2 linked regions of the Mytilus edulis genome follow. The protein of the gene in region 1 purifies or fractionates together with the protein of each later gene. This does not show direct contact. Links are inferred from orthologs where the notes say so. Each region holds a gene or a part of one and is shown on either strand. Other genes may lie near its edges. The genes, in order: cdc42 homolog and formin-binding protein 1-like.

Region 1 (11,404 bases):
AAATTTGCTTTTACAAATGTTTTGTTCTTCCCTCGCCAGGATTTGAACTCATGCTACTGAGATAACGTGACACCAAATCGCCTGCGCTGTATCTGGCGCGCTAGACCACTCGACATATATTGGTCATTCTCAGCAGAATTACACCCAAAATAACAATCAATTGAATTTTTTTTACAGTATGCCAAATTATAAATCATTAGTTTTAGCTGCAGAAAAATCTGTGTATTGTATAAAATTGAAAGAGACACTAAATTGATTTTTACTTTTATCAATGTTTATAAATCATGTAAATGTGTTATAGTTTTATAGAATTTTGATTCACAATATTCACAACATCATGTTGACTTTCTTGCATTGTCAGCATTTTTGTCCCATTGGCATTGTACACAAAATTTAACTAGTTGTACACAAAGCAAATTTGGGACTCTCACCACAAATTAAAAGGTTAAGTAATACCATTTTGCTCTGCAAATGTGAAATAAAATGTTTTGAATGTATAAACTTACTGTTGGTACATATTCTGAAGGGAATTTATTAGTTGTATAAGATATTAATAAACATGTCTTTCCTACAGCACCGTCTCCCACAACCACACACTTGATTGTCTGCATGGTGGAAATATCTGAAAAAAGAATAATAAACAATATTAACTAGAGCAAAGTCTTCTATATTTTTTTGGTATATAGATTTTAATCATTAAATGTATGCTTAAAGGAATGACTAGGTTTTAAATCCTACCCATGTATTTGAAGAAGCTACATTGTACCATAAGTGGCTAAACATGTACTGTAGACAAGTCTTAAAGAATGACTAGGTTTAAAACCCAATCCATGTTAAATTGTATCTGAAGACACCACCATACATTGTAAGTGTTGAAACATGTAGACCAGAAAAAAGCATTTCCTTGTAGTAATCCAGGATGTTGTTGTCTTTTTATAGTTTTACCTTCCAATGTTTGTTAATTCTTAAATAATCATAATAATTAAATAGAAGCATTTGTTGAGTTGTAGTAATTGTCAAATTTAGCTTTAGTTACCCTGGAATTTACTTCCCTATTGCACATGCTGTCATGGCTGTAACATGTGTATAAACAATTAAAATATGCAATGTTTTACCACACTTGGTTTATATGACTTTTACCACATTTCTTCCTTAGAATCATTTTCATACATTTATGACTTTTTTATGTCCTCTTATTCATGTTATTTCTGACAATAAGCAACAATCTATAAATAACCAAAGCATACATGTACCTACTTTGACCTATAATCATGATAATTTGTAACTTTTACTACATGTATGCATTGTGTCAATGTGACTTGGATTGACAGTTGTCTCATTGGCACTCATTCCACATCTTCTTACTTACACTGTAGGTTTTTTTTTTAAATGAATGACAGTTAGTAAGTATTTTATATTTTGGTGTATGAATCTGAAAATGATTGAACCAAGACTTGTGTATGTTGACTAAAGTTATGACACATAACTTGGGTTCTCATGTATTATATGTACATTCAGTCATTGTAACTGAACTTTTAATTTTCCATTTTTAATCATTTGTCGTTGTTTTTCCCCACTTTACCTTTATCTGATCATCGACAGTATACAATGTATATGAATATCAAAAATCAAACATCCATTTTAAAATTAAGTAAATTCTATCCAATATCAAAATGTTGTTTTTTACACCTATCCACAGAACTTGGCACACAATCAGCAAAACTTCTAAAAAGTCACATTTGGCAACCTTTTGAGATCGTAATATGCTTATCTGTTATCATGCTCATACCACATTATTTATTTCGCTTTAAAAGGCTTAAAGCATCTTCAAAATTGATTAAAATAAGTTTTTTGTGTTTGTCCAACTAGCTGGTATATATAATTATATATAATTTCACCCTGGTTACATACATTTTGTACTTTTAAAATTAGTTTTTAATTTATAATTTTTGTTCTTGTGCATGTTTCACACTTTTTTTTGTTTAGCCTGATTAAATTTGTACAGCAAAATCAAGCTACAATTGTAACCAGCATATACTTAATTTGGAGGACAGTGAGCAATGGTGAGTGAAGAAATGAAAACAAAATAATTAAAAATTAACTCATTGTTTCTCTCAACTGACACACTTTTTTTTCATATGACATATAAATGTACATGTAGTTGATGGGCAATTAAAGTGTCCCTTATATTTAAAACTTAGACAAATAAGGTTGACTACTTTTGATCTATAAACATGATAAATAAGACAGAAAAATAATTTATTTTCTGAATTTCCTTCCAGGGGACAATCTGATATTCACCATGTCTGAAATTCTCGCTGCCATATTTATTTTTTAAACCCTTGTTCTTTGTTTGCATCTCATGTTTTCTACTTGACTCGTCGTTCTTTTTGTCTTGCTTGCCTTATGTTTTATTAAGTATTTATCAATCTGAATCTACATTCAAAATCTAAAGAAATGACACATCGGGTGAATGATAGATAAAACGAATCCGGGTCAGTTCTCGCCTGATTTTTATTAGTTTTGTACATGTATGTACAAATGTAATAACTTTGTAATCAAGTTTTGGCAAGTGCATTCCTATAAGTACTGTATATAAGTTGTCATTGTCTCAAAATAAAGTGAGACAATGGTTTTTTTCCATGTTGAATAAATCTTAATCATGTTTTGGATAGTGAATTGTTGAAAAAAAAATTATTGTTTCTAAATAAAGTGAGATTCTATCAACTTTTGTGTTGAATGAATCTTAATCATGTTTTGGTTAGTAAAATGCTATAATTTATTGTTTTAAATTATTGTTGGAACTTTCAGATCAATGAGCCAAGCAGTTGAGTTAAAAACACTTATCTTTTGTGGTTTTCATTTAAAATCTTCAATGTTTTACTCATACCAAGCTAAATACATGCAGTATTTATATCACAGCAATTTAAAACAATTAACAATCATAATTTTCTAATTATTAAACTGGAATTTGATTTTAAATTTTGTGTGAACGTGTAGGGAGCCAACAGACCTTGGGTGCGAACGTGTAGGGTGGGAAAGTGTATTAGGCGTAAACGGACCTGATACCGGATATAAAACGTAATTGACTGTCCCTGGTCAATAGACAAAGCCAAAACAATGTTATATGCGACTCTGGTTCTCATACAAATGTACTTATTTTTATTCATTTTCGGAATCAACCTATTTCCGATGTTATTTAATAGCTATCATCATGAACATTGATGTTTTGACTAAAATATATATTTTTACTTGCTGATCATTGGTTTCTTTAACATAAATTAAACATCTTTATACCATTTGTATACGTTTTGACTATTTTTGTTGGATTTGAACTTTGTCTTGTACAAATGTATATTTTTTTACTTGTCGACGGGCAACCCAGACAAACATAATTACTTGTCCAGTTGTTCAAATGTAGGAGTCTGATAGTATTTTCACACCCCTGAACCCTGATGATTGATTTTTAAAATTTTTTTTTTATTGTTTACAAAACAAGATGTTCAGTTACGTTAAGTTTTAAGTGTACACAATTTAAAACAGCAAATAGGATGAACTTTAACAGGCTTTTTTTTTATTTATTATAGAGACACAGTACACTGTAATGCCTGTACAGAGATACATGATAAACAAGGCACTCCCAAGCCCCCTTTTTGGTTTGAAAAAGTCTGTGTTTTCATTCATTTATTTACCAAATAAAATGCACAGTTTACTTTGATAACTGTTCAAGGGAAAAACTTCTTTCAAATGAAACGTTATAAGTTAGAATTACGAGGATTAAAGAGGAGAACATTAACATTTACAGGCACCGGAAGCCATGCCGCCATTATTTTTGACAGACTCCGAGCAAGAATTCATTGGATAAAGAATCTCAGAGTTAAATGGGACAGATAAATCCCAAAAGAGTCCTTTGGATTGATGCCTCAAAAACTATCTAACTTCATACTTAGATCTTTTGTTGATAATCATTCAAATAATACCTACAATACTAATTTCCGGGGTGTTCAGTTAATCCAATTTTAACCGGAAAAACTTACAGCGCATGCGTCTATGACGTGATTTTCTTCTTAAAATAGCTCCAATAAATACACTAGTAACGTAGCACCTGTCAACATTCAAATGATCGGCAATACACAAATTCAGCTGATATATGTCCCAAGTTTAAATCCAAATATAACGACGAATCAAATTTCTGGCCTATTTTTATGGTTCTATTCTTGGATAAAACGAGAAAATAGAATAAGAGTTTTGATATAGACTATTTTTTTCAGTATAGATCGATCTATACAGTCAGTGATTAAACCGTTTTATTATCTTTTTAAGTCAATTGTTGAATGAATAGGTTAACTATATACATGATATATATTAAAGGATATGAAGGTGTTTTACAGAGATAAGAATTCTGTGCAAAAAAGTAAGCCTGGAAGGGAGGCCAAAAAGTATAGATAAAAGAAGGTAGAGGTGATGAAATATATACATAATCAAAATATTGATTGATTGTTGGTTGTCTAAAGTCCAGTGGCAAATATTTGATGCTTGTTTAGGACGAATATAAAAAAGATCAATTGACAGGAAAATAAAGTATAAAGTGAAATAGTTACGATGATGTGACCCCCCTAAAAAAAAACCCAACACAACAACAACAAAAAACAACAAAATAAACCCACCCACACTCGCATATATACATGTATACATCTCAAAAAATATATAAATTTTGGTTTTGGTGCCCCCCCCCCCAGGAATCGAGGTTCTGGATCCGCCCCTGTGTTCTGTGATTAATTATTAACTAATCAATCAGAAAATCATATGGACACAGTTATAGCGTATTTGTTTGTTTGTTAGTTAATTGTATAGACATATTTTTTTAAATATTCAGTGACCGGATAATTTTCCGCCGTATTTTTTGTCTACTCATGTGTATTTAATTATCAACGATGGCCTAAATAAAAATAATAAATCATACATTCTGTATAAATATTCGCTTATCTTTCGCCATATGACAAGGTCATGTATACATGCAGTTGAATGATGTCTTCTTTTTAAAAAAAATCAAATTTATATAATTAAACCCTTATGGGTGTACATGCAGATTGACATGCCCGAAATCTTCTGCATTTATTAGTGGAAATCGGGATTTCAACTAGCCCTCAGTAACTGCGAGTAGTCTTAGATTAGAACTCTGGGACTTTTTTTTGTAGTTGCTATAGTTATTCGATTTTCAATGAGTTAATGCTTTATCTGATTTTCAATGAGTTAATGCTTTATCTGATTTTCGATGAGTCAAAGCCTATTCAACCTATGTTTAGTTGTTTCTAATGTTCTGCTGTTAACCACTGTCAAATGTTTAGTAGGGTCCTAAGTTTCGGATGGGCCTAAGTTTCGGAGGGATTCGGACTCTCATATACATATTAATGTGTCTATGATTGAGATATAATTGGCATCAATAAGACAGCAACCACATAACACGGATAAAACAAAAGAGACTATTGAAGGTTGTCATTACGTTTTCAATAATGAACGGGCACAAACCCTAAAATTATACCATGCAAACTCAGAATCGCTTTGAATCTTTACAAGTTACGTTAGCTAGTCAAAAGGTAGTTTGACCGTTCATCAGGTTCAAATGGTTGCAAGACTTTTGTTTCCGAGCACAGCTGCTAATCAAGGAGCATATATATAGATACTATGAGAATGAATACTAAAAGGAAACCCTTCGGTCATTCATAACCACTAGATCATTCGTGGTATGCATTGTAGTGTGTAGGAAGCTGCCAGGTGAGCGACCAAATCTTTGGGGTCGTTTTAGGTATAATTAGACTGCTCGGATGAAAAAATATGATTTAATCTTGCCCGAAATGCATATTAGTATAGTAATAGTATGCAGATCAAAGGTTACAAGCGTAAACAATTATGCATGCTTCACAGCGCTAGCAGTTCAGTTTCGTAATACAGCTTTTTTTTTTTTTTTATTATTTTTTATTTTTTTTATCAAATTTGGAAATATCAAAACTATCCAATGTTGTTAGGCTACGTACGCTCCTCTAAGGTTAGGGTGGAGAGTATCGTAGTTAAAACTAACAGCGGATCTGATTTTCATTGCATCAAACACTCAATCTATTACAATGGCGGATCCAGGGGGTGGGGTCGGAACCCCCCTTTTTTTTGGACGCTCAATGCATCAATCTCCCATACAGACAGAGTTATCGTCCTTTCCTCCTCCTCCTGTCTGTATGGGAGATTGTCAATGCATTTGAATGTAGTTGCCCCCCTTGTCTTTGGTTACTGGGGAACCCCCTTTTTAAAATGGCTGGACCCGCCCCTGTATTACATAATGTTGTCTGCTTAAAGGGATAATTCGCGAATTTTTACTTATCAGCTAATTATGTCCATAATACAATAAAAAACATATTCACCAAGTTTTATCTGGATATGAACAGCAATAAAGGAGAAAATTAAGAATTATTAATTTTATTTCTTCGAACTTCCTGACTTATGTGACGTAGTTTATGTCTTTAAGCATGCCGGGAGTGGAAATAATCTCATTTTAAATCTTAATCGTTAATCATCTTATAACGCTATTTAAAGCGCATAGACGACGTTTGGTGTGGCTATTAACCAACTAATAATTAAGATGGAACAGCGCTCATTTTGAAAGTAGAATGTACGATTTATATTTTAATATTTTCTGAAATGTTTATAGTGATACAAGTAAATCATATATATAAAATATTTTTTTATGATTTTTTTTTCCGACGGATATTTTGAACTTACATGTATAACTGGTAGTGTTTTAAAAATGCATGTTTGTACTTTTTACCTTTTACGTCAGGCTAGTAAATATGTGCTGCTAGTACATTTGTAGTGTGCAAATACGGCCCCGCAAATACAATGTGTATTGTACTTTGACACATAGTGACTACCTGTTGAATGCGTGGTTAAATTCAAGTTAATTAAAAGATTAGCATTTTGTATCTTTTGATCTTTACTCAGTGAATTTAAGCCGTCACGGTTCACTTTTCTAGGTGTGAACATTTCGTATGAATGATAAACGGGGGAATCTTAATATTTTCCATGAGCTCAGTTTAATTAAATATATTATTGACGCTGAATATTTTTTGTTAAAAACAAGGAATACTGAATTAATTTAATTGAATAAATTTATGAATAATGATGTAAAAATTCTAAATAAGAATCGGTGACCTTGAATTTTTGAAATAGATAGTATAATTACCAATTGCAGTTATATAAGGCGATCTTCTTTTTTTTTTTTTTTTTAATATTCAGGAAGTAATGTCCTTTCACCACGTACTAATTCTTCAGCTATTTGAACGAAAATATCAAAAATGTTGACAGAAAATTTAAAGGTCAACTTTGTCTTACTGAAAGGGAGGGAGAGCTCCAGACGTACTTACTAACAGACAAAGCAGGCTTGTGGCTTATCGTCAGTTTGTGTGCTGGGTCAGGAAAGGTCAACCACTTGGCAAGAAACATAGAATAATCATACCGGCTTGTGTAGTAAACATAATTAGAAAAGAGTTTCCATCGTTGGATGGGGTATACGAATGATTCAAAGAATGTGAAAGTGACACTTCAGATTGAATAGTTCTAAAATCATTTAAACGATTTACCAATACATTTTTTATTGGTTATTGGTTATTTTTTGCTATGACGTTGTCAGTGTGTTTTTTAATACTGAAATTGACTATCCGTTTTGGTACCTTCTGCCTTTTTACAAACAAGACCATGAAACTGAATATTGGAAATGTATCATGCTACTTCAAAAGAAAAAGCACTAATGGATTGTCCTAGAAGCATATTTTATGAGAATAATAATGGTCTATAAGCAGTTACATTTATTTCATGTTTGAAGCGGTGTATTTTTTTAAAATTTAATTTGACTTTTACCAAGAAATGCATTGTAGCAAAGGGGAAGAGTAATTGTGGTCTAGTGTCAGATACTCGAAAATAATGAAATTTAACATAAAAGGAAACAAATAACGGACTTTGGCAAAAATGGAGAGGGCTTTTGATACCTTTTCTCCAGACATAAAATCTTTTACAATAAATCATCCTACAACAGCTTAAAAGCTTGAAATGCCAGCGATTTCGCGGTGTGTTTTAGTGTTCTCAAAATCTTATATTGATAAAAATGACAACTCCTTTAAATAATTGAAGGTACATGTACAGGAAGACAAACGATTACCGCACGTTCTGGAGACATGCCACGAACTAAGTATCATAATTGCGCATGCTTGTCTCTTCACATACAAGTAAACGCAAATTTTCTAATAGGCAAAATATTTCGTAAATGCGCCCGCTCATATCGGAAATAGGACAAGAAAGTATGAAAGATAGTCATCCGTAATCTCTCGGTTAAATTCTCTAGAATTTACTCCAAACAATGTTGTAAAATGATGTAGTATGTTTTTTCTTTCTTAAATTATTCATCACAACTCAAGACCGCATAACGTAAATTAAACAGTTGCTAAGCAAATAAAACAAGCTCACAAAACATTATGTAAGCTATTGTGTACAAAAGCATTGGCGTTGTTTTGTTTTTCAATTATATCCATCATGAAGTCAGGGACATAGAAATACAAATTATTTGTAGTATAGGTCTCTGATGAAGTGAAGTGCATCATATCAGTTCACCATAAGTATTTTCATTGTTTTTTTAGTTATCTCCCGTTGAATGTAAGACAAGTACATTTTTTTTATGGATAGATGGAAAAATGTAAGCCAATGAAACCACTAAAACGCAACAATTACAAAAATAACAGAAAGGATACCTAGATAATTAACAATTGAAGTGAATAATCAATTGACCGCCTTTGTTCAATGCTGTATCTTGCAGGAATCTGAATTCTGCAGATAAACACGGTCAGCATAGGACTAAAAAAAAGAAGATGTGGTATGATTGCCAATGAGACAACTATCCACAAAAGACCAAAATGACACAGACATTAACAACTATAGGTCACCGTACGGCCTTCAACAATGAGCAAAGCACATACCGCATAGTCAGCTGTAAAAGGCCCCGATAAGACAATGTAAAACAATTCAAACGAGAAAACTAACGGCCTTATTTATGTAAAAAAATTAACGAAAAACAAATATGTAACACATAAACAAACGACACCCACTGAATATACAGGCTCATGACTTGGGACAGGCACATACATAAATAATGTGGCGGGGTTAAACATGTTAGCGGGATCCCAACCCTCCCCCTAACCTGGGACAGTGGTATAACAGTACAACATAAGAACGAACTATAAAAATCAGTTGAAAAAGGCTTAACTCATCAGATGGACAAAAATATAAGTGGACGTGGCCGGGTACTTATACATCCCGACACAAAAAGACACAATGAACAGATCTGAGAGTACTCGCAGTTATCTGACATCTAGTTCAAAGCCACTAACAACTAATAAAAAAATCATGCATCTAAGACTAAACTATCAATCCGTACACATCCAACATCCAATGGATTTAGTGTAATTTGTAAAGACATCATAAACAGCCAGAGAAAAACATGACCATAGTCTTTTTGTCTTACTGCTTGGCTATTGTCCAGTAGCAGTTATTTCAAGCATGTTCAGATATTTACAAATAAAATAAAAAAACCGGGATAAAGGGCTATATATAGATTTGGATTGCCATAAACTTGGAATTAAGGGTATGTTGGATAAAGCCAAATGTTTGCCTTGCAATAGGCTACCTTCGGACGCTTCGTATGATTATTGCAAGGGATTTTAAACATACGGAGATCTTGACACCCTACCCTTTGGTAGGCATAGGATTTATTGACCGGACATGACTGCGCTTTAACCCACCAAGTGCACACAATTAACAGACTGTAGGAAGGGTTTAACTGCCGAAGGGGCGATGGGAAAATCCTGTTTTTTGCCCCAGTAAACCATTGAGATGATCGTTATGCAAGTTATGTAAGTCTTGCACAAATTCCCTTACCACTTATACCCCAAAATCCTATGAAAAATTTACGTACTAACATTTTTTAGACTCTACAAGACAAGATCTCTTATAGGTTAACATAGCCAATTATGTGTCGGTCCTAAAAAGAAGTAACCCCTGTAATGATGATGTGTGTCCATCTTTTGCGAAACTATAGAAATAAAAAAAAAACAACGAGAACAACAAGAAATAGCAAGACAAGACAAAAATACCGTAATGACTAAAATATTTTCAACAGATTTACACCTATGCGTAGTAACTATTGTGTTGTATAGATATGTATTTCTTTTGCAGTATGTTATTTTTCTAATGGGCCCGATTCAGTGATGTTTCATTTTACAAAGTCTATATACAAATTATTTTTGCTAGGGATTCTACTCATGCCGTTGCTATATATAGCGGCCGTTGCAATCTTGCAGTGAGGTGAGTGTTGTTTATGCTCCGTGTTGAAGGTCTCGCTATGATTTTGAGATGAAGATCAGCAATAAAAGCCTTTGTGTTTTTTTGTTTGCTGTATATCCTTGTTTTTTCTATTAAGATCCCCCCACCAAAAAAAATTAAATCAACATAGCCTTCAAATTACGAATGCTTACCATTTTTTGTTGTTTAGACAAAAATAAATTTTGATTGTTCTTCAAGACAGTGTCTACAAATTGGTCAACAAGATAGAAATTGTTAGTAACCTTAATCTATAGGAGTTACTGCCCTTGAATAGTAATTTCTACTAAGTCTTTATTTTGTGTTTTATTTTGGGGAAAACAGGAAATGAAAGTGATGGAATAAGAATTGTGCCATTTTTGAAAATGCAATTCTAATCCGTAATTTTCAATAGGAGAGTAGAAATATGGTCTAATAGATACCTTTCTTAAAAAAAAATTTTGTTGGATGTATAAATTCACGGCAGTTCAGGAGTCAGTTTCACAAAAAAAAAAAACAAAAAAAAAACCTTCCGATTAAGATTGATCGTAAGTCATGAACGATTTAGTATGTTTTCGATCTATCTTAGTATTTTTGTGAAATTGACTCCAGAATGTGGACTATAATTAATCAATCCGTTTAAACAACTAATTCCAGGGAAGGTCTTTGACCTACCGCAAAGCCAATTTTATCCTCAATGTTAATGCCTTGCCCCTCATTTCAGTCAATCAATTTTCTAGGCCCTCAAACTTTGTTTATTGACCAACATGATTTGATTTATTATTCATTTTGTTCTCGTTAAGAATATGCATTATTTTTTATCGGTACTTGGTGTCTCAGTTTGTCTTTTTATAAGTATTTGTTTGCACTTCAGGCTGACCTGATAAGTCAAGCCCCTTTAACAGCTTTTACAGTTTGTAATTATGTTGTGTAGTCACAGCAACGTATCGGGTTAGTAGAGGATTGCAGAGGCGGATTTAAAGGTTTTTTCAGGGGGCCCGGGCAACCCCTT
Region 2 (11,037 bases), on another chromosome or scaffold:
AAAATCAATACCAACCTTCCTTTTGTGGTCATAAACCTTGTGTTAAAATTTCATAGATTTCCATTCACTTTTACTAAAGTTAGAGTGCGAAAACTAAAAGTATTCGGACGCCGGACGACGACGACGACGACGACGCAGACGCCAACGTGATAGCAATATACGACGAAAATTTTTTCAAAATTTGCGGTCGTATAAAAAATTAAGAAAAAATATGAATCCCTTAAAAAAATTGTACACAAAAAATCCCCGTCCCAACTTATTAAAACCTCCCTTGGAGCTATAACCCCAAAACTCAATCCCAGACTTCCCTTTGTTATATGCAACATTGTGGTACAATTTCAGAGAGATCCATACACTTACACACAAGTTTAACTATTATTATCTGGAAACTGCTTGTTTTTGGCCTTTAATTCCTAAACAGTTGGACCCATAAAAAAATGAATCCCAACCTTCAACTGGTGGTATTAAACCTTCTGAAAGAATTTCATGAAGATCTATAAAATTTTTTGCGGTTGTAAGAAAACAAGTAGTGCGCTTATCCTTCATTTGTCAGTTTAGTTTTTTCTGTTGTTGGGATGTACAAGTACCCAGCCACATCGACTCTGTTTTTGTTTAACTTATTTCTATTTGTATGCAGTGTTCTAGCTAATTTTCAAAGTTTGAACAGCGCGCAGCGCCTACCCTTTTATATTGACCCCTATTCCCTTCATGGTGACGCCTGCACCTTTTTCTCTGTCGTTTCGCAGGGGATTTATAGATCTCCTGCGATTTTAAAGTCCAGCAGAAAAGATTGTAACTTTAAGTCTTGAATATTATCACTCCATTTTAACTGAAACTTGATTTTACCATATAGCCCAAGTTATGTGGAGTATTTTGTTTGTAATATTATGTACATATATGCATTTTATGACATATGCTTATAAATTATGAGGCTTAGATATTTGCCTTTTTTTCAAAGACATTTATGCATAAAATTGCCATTTTTCACACTATAGTAAGCACCCTGTCAAATGCATTTTCTTAAAAAAAAATATTCTCAATCTATTGGTCTTTGAGAAAATGTAGTTTGTGCTGTATTTGGACCCTTCTTCAATGAAATTTGTTACATGCATACATATGAAAATTGCGGTTTTAATCCAACGCTGTCATAGGATTGAACGTTGTTTTCAATTTAGACTTGTTTATATTTATTTGGTTTGGGCTTGTATTATATTTTAAATTAATATAGAGATCCATTTTTTTTAGGTACAAAATGTATCAGGTCCGTTCGCACCCAATATACTTTCGCACCTCACATGTACGCCCCCTAATATTAGAATATCAGTTGAATTATTAGAATTTTGTTTTTAACAAATAATTTTATTTTCTTTTATTAAATTTGAGGAAGTATCATATAATTTTTTTTAATTTTAATTTGATGATTAATTATTAAATGTTAATTATGTATGATTACTGCTAATTGGTATACACAGCCTAATTTTGTGTTATTTTTTAGTGTTTTAAAAAAATCATGATTGTTGTTTTAAGTCTTTTAACTTGCTTTGATGTAAATAACTGCATAAATTTAGCTTGGTATGCCTAAAACTTTGAAGATCTTAAATAAAAAATATAATTGTTTTTAACAGCTTATGTGATCTCATGTGTGTTTGGACAATGGCTAAATATTTATAGCAATACACTCTCCAAAACTCGTAAATAATAAATAAGGCCGAGAAAAAAAAGATCGATGTTTCCGGTAAGGCCTAAATTAAAATATTGTTTGTTTGCCCTTTTCCGACCCTATGTTTTGAAACAGGGTAGGTAGGTAGGTAAAATATTTTATTTTTTCCCCCAAAAAAATAACTTGGCTCGGTATATTATTTGTCATGGGTAGGCAGGTAGGTATAATATTTTATTTTATATATACAAACTTTGCATAATGTAATTTGTGTCCGTTTGGTTTTTGCAAATAAGTTTTCTGGGACTATTAGTTTTAAAAAAAAATATCACGTAGAATGTGAAGCTAATTCATATGCACTACTATTTTGTTTTCAAATATCAAAATATAGAGCTGTGCCGCATATCTTCAACGTTTATATGCCTGGAACTTGGAAGAGTTTGAACTTGCACTTATATTCTGTACTATGTACCTTGTATGCTTACCTTAAGATTTTCTGTAAAAGATAACTTCGTATTGATAAGATATGTCCGGGCAGACATACATTACTAGTAGAAAAAGTCCCTAGAGTGTTAAAAATATCGTGTGTGCCTTTTGTTTCCAATAAAAATGCTACAAGACTTAAAACTCTGACAATTGTCACGACTCACGTATTTTACATCGCATTTATAAATGACCTGTATGGAAAACTTGGCGATTTTACTGCCAGATATTCCTCACTTTACAGGGTTTTGTCACTTTTGGTTCATGTCAGATATAAATAATATAGCGACATCGTTAACATAATCATCCTGATCTGCGGATCACAAAAGGCCATCCCTACAAAGAATACAACGTCCGTTTACAAATGAGTTTGTACACACGTTGATAATTTTGTATTAAACGAACTTTTTTGTAAATGAACCCTGCTCTTTAAATTAAGTATAAAGGTACAGAGTAGCGTACGTCATATCATGGAAGCGTTCACATGCTGAACATCGATTTCAAACAAATGCTTTGAAACTTCAATTGCAAGTGTTCATGTCAAACGCTCAGGTGATACTAAACGGACTTGACCTTATAACTTAAAGATAAAACCCGAGAAATCCGGGTAAAATAGTTTTGAGCGGGAAATACAAATACAATGTATAAGATTTTTGGTAGGAACGAAAAAATAAAATAAAATAAAATCTTGCTGGTAAATACAAATAAAAGATTTTCAGGCGCAACGAATTTATAGGGTCGGTCGGTAAAGGGCAAACAATCAATATTTTAATTTAAGCCTAACCCGACCGACCCTAACTTTTTTATTGGATCTTCAAAAAAAAATTTTAAAAAATTGTATCAACCGACCCCGTTTTTGACACAGGCTTCTGCATTTCTGATAGATGACATAATATTTTTTCTCTCTTGCTTCTACTTGCATAGAAAGCCAGTAAAACATTTTATTAATGTCAAAAGGTATTCCAAATAGGTTTAAATCCAAGAAATTTGCAGAGCAGGTGCTTCAAAAACATTGCAAATGGCACACTTCGGGTTTTTGAAACTAATTACGGATCCGGACTTGGAAAAACCATGATAATTTTCCGGATTTCATTTACGATGTCGGAAAAAAAAAAAAAGAAAAAAAAAAGAATTCTGACTTACCGACCCTATTTTTCAAAATGATGTTACCGGAAACACATATCTTTTTTTTTAAGGCCTAAATCAAATTTTGACTCGAGCATTATTATCTTTTTTACAAAAAAAAGATATGAAGATACAATGTTTGATTTGTATTTCATAGTATATGATAGTTTAAATAAAATAAAATTTGGGCGCGAATGTGTAGGGTGCGAACGGACCCGTTTTTTTTTTTTTACACCTTGTGATCAATTTATTTGGCAATCATCAATGGCAGTCAGCAGGGTTTAAGAATATCAGTTGTTCGACCTGCTAGTCAAATGCGTTTTGTTAAAATATTTTTTTCTTCATTCTTATGGTCTTTTGGAAAATGTTGATTGTGCTGTATTCAGATCCCTCTACAACGAAATTTCTTACATGCACACAAATAAAAATTGTGTTTTGTATCCAAATCAATCATAGGTTTGAACGTTGTTTACAATTTCAACTAGTTAATATGGCTAGTATATATAATAAACATCCTCCATCCCTTGCTATTATCCAAAATAAGGTTGATTTTCATCTCACGCAAAAGTGACTACAATGTATTTAAAGCCCTCAAATTCCTAAACCCTGCAATGTAATACTTTGTTAGAGTTATTATTGTTGACGGTCCAAGGAAACTTTATTGACAGTCAAATTTGACTTTATAGAAGGACCAATTTTACTTTTTAGTCCGTTTACTATGACTCAGTCTTATCCCACATTCATCATGTTCAATTAAAATGTTTATTATTTATTAAAAACCGATAATAAAAAACATATCATTGTCAAACAAAATAAAGATGTATTTATTTGGGGCAAAATAACTCAGCACAAATGGAAAGGGACAGAATTGAATTTGATGAACATAGAAATGATCAATCAGAGGGGGGCCAGAATTCTGACAGTTCACTCTAGAGACTATATTTTGCCTTTCATTTGTACATACATGTACATGACTTATTTCATTGTGTTCAAACTAATATGCAGTATCAAAAGCATGTCTATAACAAAGAATGTGGTGCTATAGTTTATCACACTATAGAGCCTTGTAAGCCAAGCTGACAACGATTTGAGTATCACACTAAATATTTTCCTTGAAACGACAACGGCTTCCTGTTATTTTGGTAAATTGTGGACGGTTTATGTAAATATATTGCAACTTTTGGCCGTTGCAACAATCTGGAAACTTACCCAAAGCTCAGTTCCCCAGCTCATGTCTGCATTAAGGAGCCCTTAGGGCAGTCAACATGTATAAAACGTTAAATATTTGACAATAACATTAGCCCAGCCTCTTATTACTTATCCAATATGGCGGATCTGACTCAATGAATAGGGATTATTATTTACATTAAGTTTCGTATACGGAATATTGTTATTGTTTTTTGGATTTTTTAGTGTTAAAAAATAGAAGAAATGATAAAATTGGGTTTAAATTAGGCTATCCCCGTTTTACAAACAGATTATTTACAGGATATTTGACAGACACAAAAAAATCAAGGGAGACAACTCCATTTATTTTTGTTTTATCTACATTTTTTTAATATGTAAATTAATAGTGTAGGAGTTTAATTAAGTTTTAGATTAACTTTATTATTTAGATTAGAAGTATTTATTTTTTTCGCATACTTCAAGTAAAGGTTTCAAACTTCATTGTTATAATCAGAGACATATAATAGATCATAATAGTGTACAAATACAAATATTTTATTAGCACAATCTGGGAACACAATAAACAATAAATTTAAGACTCATGGTAGTCTATATTAATTACATAGTTGATCATACATAATAAGTATTGCAAATAATGACTATATTAATTTGTAATAAATTTAAACAATGATTATATTCACAATTTTATAGAGTTTGTTCTGCTTTACGCAGGTTCAGACTGTCTGAAATGAAAGAGAAAGTCAATTTTAGGACTTTGTGTATGAATTATTATTTAATAAAAAGATAACAGAGCAGTAACGTTATCTCATTTCTGGGAATATTTAGATGTCTCCCTCTTTCACTCATCAGTATATGAGCGCTTATACGAATCTTACATATTGCAGCTCTGTCACTTCTGTTTTTCAATATACCAACGTAGGGTGGTCTCCTGCCTATTATGATTATATTATGTATAGACACTCTTGAAAAGGCCAGTCTAATTTTTTTATTCAAATATAAATAAATTTGGTGTATTTACTGTCTTCTGATTGGCTAAAAAAATTGGCTTTATTTTCAATGTTATCAATTTTTATGGAGACACGCCCACTCTAACGTTGTGTATTCATACGCAAACATCTGTGTACGTTGTTATTGGTATTAATATATATCTTTGAGCATTATTTTTGATAGAAATTTATTTATAATGAATGGCAGTAATTTATTTTGAATTTATTGAACCATAAAATTAATTTTTGACTGTTCACATTTAACATAATCCGCTTCGCGGATTATTCAATGTGAAGAGTCAAAAATTAATTTTATGGTTCAATAAATTCAAAATAAATAAAAGCCATTCATTAAATAGTTGCATTTTGAACTTGCAAACATTGGTCATTAATTTTTTGTTTAATGGAATTTAAATTACCTTTAACATAATTAAAGTTATTGATGATATAAGACATTCCAAGTCCATTCAAAGTGTATGTCCGAGTCTGCTGTATAAACCTTACCAGAATTGTTAAAATTATTAAAGTTAAAGTTTATACATATCATTTTGCAGAGGCATAAATGATAAATACATGTACATACGGAAATTTACGGAAAGAAAAATGGAGCGTGATATCTTTTTAAAAAAATAAGATTATAACTTTCTAAAAGGAAACTCTTTAGGACTTCTAAATGGTGTATTTCAACTGTGCTAAACTTATTTCAACATTAATGTTATTTGTCCCAGTTAATTGTGCGGATGTCAGATTTATGTAACATTTTTCACTATCTTCATAAGGAAAAATACGGATATTACATTCAAATTCTATTACAAGAAACTCTCAAGACATGCAACTTCTCAATTGTTCAATCCCTCTGATCTTCATTAATATCGATATACTGACCCTCTGCTGTTGTTTTTTATTTGGTCGGGTTGTTTTTTCTTTGACACATTCCCCATTTCCATTCTCAATTTTATTGTAATACATGTACATCCTGAATAAATCAATTGTTATTTTATTTTATCAAATTTAGAAAATTAACCATTCTAAAACGTTTTCCGTAAGAGCCTTATCTTTCATTCCTCTCTATCTGTATAGATGCACCATTGTCTCTATATCTTATCCCTTATGACCATGACATTTTTCTCAAATGTGTCGTTACTTTCTATTGGTTCCTTTTTTCAGTTAATAAATTTTCTCAGAATTTTCAGATAATCCCGGTTTATCTCAGATAAATTAGGATTAACTCAGCTTAATTGAAATTCGAGAAAATTCTAGCTTATCTGAGAAAATATAGAAAGTTCATTATCTGGAAAAAATCCCGGTTTATCTGAAAATTCTGAGATAAACCGGCATTATCTGAAAAAAATCGAGATAATCCCAGTTTATCTGAGCTTAATGTAAAAAAAGTGAGATAATCCTAGTTTATCTGAGAAAATCCTGGTTTATCTGAGATAATCTATGATTATCTATAAAAGTGGTTCAGGCGTGCCATATGTACACATATCATGTTTCTGATGTTTGTGTACTTTTCTATACAGTATGTGGACAAAAGTAAATCTTTCTTCTTACTGAACTGTATGTATTTTTAATAGTACTAAGAAACACATTTTCCAAAATTATTTTGCCGAAGCACTCGAGATCAGATTTTCATAAAATGTTCCCGGTTTATACATAAAAGAGGGACGAAAGATACCAAAGGGACAGTCAAACTCATAAATCGAAAATAAACTGACAACGCCATGGCTAAAAATGAAAAGGACAAACAGACAAACAATAGTACACATGACAAAACATAGAAAACAAAAGAATAAACAACATGAACCCCACCGAAAACTAGGGGTGATCTCAGGTGCTCCGGAAGGATAAGCAGATCCTGCTCCACATGTGGCACCCGTCGTGTTGCTAATGTGATAAACAAATCCGGTAAACAGTCCAATTTGGTAGGTCACACTCATGAAAGGGAAGGGGATTGTAGTTACGACGAAAGGAAATTAAAAAAGAGGGACGAAAGATACCAGAGGGACAGTCAAACTCATAAATCGAAAATAAACTGACAACGCCATGGCTAAAAATGAAAAGGACATAACATTTCATAGGAAGCTTCCATTTGATATTTATAAGGGGATAACAAGATGGACGAAAGATACCAGAGGGACAGTCAAACTCATAAATCGAAAATAAACTGACAACGCCATGGCTAAAAATGAAAAGGACATAACATTTCATAGGAAGCTTCCATTTGATTTTTATAAGGGGATAACAAATTTTGTCCAGTCTTTTTTTTTCAGTTGTAATCCATGTCCTGCCTATTTATTTTTCATTCTAGTCGGGCCTGCCTTAAAATTTTTTTGACTTTTTTTGTCATAAATTGTCATCCTGCTTTTTTATTTGCAAACAGTGTCTCATCCTGCATTTTTTTTACTCAAAACTCAGTAAAATGGTAGCTATAGCCTTCAATAGTATTTCAAAAAACAAAATCGTCGCAAATCATTTACAACCTTCTTTATAACTTATACATTGTATATGATACTAAACCCCTAACGGGAAGGATTGTGCCTGATGTTCATATGATGAAATCATAACCTTTCAGTCAGTTTAATTGAAGTCTGGAGCTGGCATGTCAGTTAAATGCTAGTAGTCTGTTGTTATTTATGTATTATTGTCATTTTGTTTATTTTCTTTGGTTGCATCTTCTGACATCAGACTCGGACTTCTCTTGAACTGAATTTTAATGTGCGTATTGTTATGCGTTTACTTTTCTACATTGGCTAGAGGTATAGGGGGAGGATTGAGATCTCGCAAACATGTTTAACCCCGCCGCATTTTTGCGCCTGTCCCAAGTCAGGAGCCTCTGGCCTTTGTTAGTCTTGTATTATTTTAATTTTAGTTTCTTGTGTACAATTTGGAAATTAGTATGGCGTTCATTATCACTGAACTAGTATATATTTGTTTAGGGGCCAGTTGAAGGACGCCTCCGGGTGCGGGAATTTCTCGCTACATTGAAGACCTGTTGGTGACCCTCTGCTGTTGTTTTTTATTTGGTCGGGTTGTTGTCTCTTTGACACATTCCCCATTTCCATTCTCAATTTTATCATAAATCGAAAATAAACTGACAACGCCATGGCTAAAAATGAAAAGGACATAACATTTCATAGGAAGCTTCCATTTGATTTTTATAAGGGGATAACAAATTTTGTCCTGTCTTTTTTTTCAGTTGTAATCCATGTCCTGCCTTTTTATTTTTCATTCTAGTCGGGCCTGCCTTAAAAATTTTGACTTTTTTTGTCATAAATTATCATCCTGCATTTTTTTTTGCAAACAGTGTCTCATCCTGCATTTTTTTAACTCAAAACTCAGTCCTGACTTGCCTTTTTTTTTTAAATTTCATTCTACCCCCTCTCCCCTAAATTTCAAATGGTAGCTATAGCCTGATAGTATTTCAAAAAACAAAATCGTCGCAAATCATTTACAACCTTCTTTATAACTTATACATTGTATATAATTGTTTTTACGACCGTACGAAGGCCGTCGTTATAAACTCCCATCATTATTGGTTTTATTGGTTTTGAATTCATGATCATGTTGAATGGTCTGGGAACTGAGGTACATGTTTAGTCCAAACTAGTTTTAAACATATTTATTTATAGTGGATTGGGAAACAAGTTTTGCAACTTATATTAATTCCTTTCCACTTTGCGGGTGCGAGTGCTGCCTTGTAGCGGCATTAGCCTACTCTTTTTCGAAATCTACAAGGGTGTCTTTAAAGTGCAAGAGATATGGCTCTCTCTTAACACGGGTCAGCCATTTATCGTCTCCTTCCGACGGACTATCATCGTTTCCTCAAGACCATACTCGCAGATGGTGTCAAGGGAGAGCCGAAAATTGAGTTCCTGAAATTTTCATCCCAAACGGGAATCGAACCCGGAACCTTTGTGTTAGTAGTCCGATGCACTAACCACTACACCACGGCTCTCCAAATTAGAAAAGCAATCACCCTTTAAGGTAAGTGTTTTTGCCAAATTCCTTATAAACACTGGTAATATCGAAGTCCTTGAATGCTCCATTTCTCAGTTAACATTTGGATTTCAAGATAAAGATGTACTTAATGAAGAAATTATGATATATTGTTTTCAGGCTGTTTTTGGTTCCATTTACTTAGTTATTTAGATAGCGCTTTTACATTTGACATTCATCGTCTCCGTTAAAAAAAAAACTAGATCAAGCTGTGGTCTGCATCCCCAAATCTCCAGGAGAATTGCTACTGCTACACAATGATATAAATTTTAAAAATGATTTTTAAGACAACTTAGATTCAAAATAATAGTGTGTAGAATGAAGCAAAGAAAAGGAAGGATATTGTTCGATTGATAGATTCTTTTTTGTTTACGTTCAGTGGCAAATAGTTCATGCTTATTTAGGACACGACAATGATATTAAATAAAATAGGTAAGCTCTGCAATGGATTGGTCGGATAAACGATAAGAACTTTCACTTCCGCTTAATTTTAGTCACAATTTGTAAAAGTAAACTATTGCTAATTATTGAAGGCCGTACGGTGACCTATAGTTGTTAATGTCTGTGTTATTTTGGTCTCTTGTGGACAGTTCTCTCATTGGCAATCATACCACATCTTCTTTTTTATATATTATAGGTCAAAGCACGGTCTTTAAAACGAAGCGGCTTGGCTCACACCAAACAATTAACAAGCTATAAAGGGTCATAAAAATTACTAGTGTGAAACAATTCAAACAGGAAAACCAACAGTATAATCTATATAAAAAACGAGAAACGACACACTCTCGTGATCACATCAACGAACAACAGCAACTGAACATCAGGTTTCTGACTTTGGACAGGCACAAATAAATGCAGCGAATTTTTTAATAGGTGCCAACATCCACCCTACCGCTGAAACAATAGTGTAACAACCCAAAATAAAAAAAACACTATAAAATATTAATTGAAATGACTTACTAGTAACTCCATCAAATAAACATACTAACAAAAACAAGTGAACATACACTGAACGAATAAATTTGTTCGATGGCACAATGTTAATACAAAATTATTTAACAAAAATTGGGGTTAGATGTAAAACAATATAAAAAAAAACAATCATAAGCTTTCAAAAGATGCCGCCAAATAAAATAATGTACCCTTTAAACGTGGTCTTTACAAAAAATGGTTTACTAATGTTAGAATTTAAAAAAAATCAATGAAGAAGAGATAAATCAAGATATACATTTCAAAGTACAGAATCAGAACTGAATAAAACTATTGGATATACGTGTACTATAGGTATGTTGGTAAAAGGCCTTTTTAAAATTCTGAACTACCCAGGTACTTCATAAATAGAGCGACAAACGATCATAGAACGTCTACATGTCATAATTTACCATGTTTACAATGCTATATGAAAAACATAAAACACCCATAAACCACTGAAACAAATACTATATAAGGGTATTTTAAACGCGTAAATTTGCCCTTTTAATAACTTAACTGTAGTAAAAAAGAAATATTTCTACCTTAAACCTATTTGCTCGTATACTTAATTTTATTAATGCATATATTCAACTTCATCTCAAGATTTTAATGCTCCTTAAAGAAAAA

Evidence for each region.
Region 2: the proteins of cdc42 homolog (region 1) and formin-binding protein 1-like purify together in Drosophila melanogaster (affinity purification with western blotting; 4 studies listed by BioGRID). This does not show direct contact. The link is inferred for Mytilus edulis from reciprocal best matches to the Drosophila melanogaster genes Cdc42 and Cip4.

The regions. Positions count from the first base shown.
Region 1 is NC_092356.1:47,828,258-47,839,661, reverse strand, and holds the start of cdc42 homolog, read right to left. Parts: upstream 4,259-11,404; 5' UTR 4,045-4,258; coding exon 4,038-4,044; exon of another isoform or gene 3,947-4,037; intron 3,835-3,946; exon of another isoform or gene 3,693-3,834; intron 623-3,692; coding exon 507-622; intron 1-506. UniProt on the Drosophila melanogaster protein: Regulates mbt kinase activity and is also required to recruit mbt to adherens junctions. Together with mbt and Frl, regulates photoreceptor cell morphogenesis. Together with Frl, has a role in the neuronal development of mushroom bodies.
Region 2 is NC_092345.1:44,049,604-44,060,640, reverse strand, and holds the start of formin-binding protein 1-like, read right to left. Parts: upstream 4,615-11,037; 5' UTR 4,499-4,614; coding exon 4,475-4,498; intron 1-4,474.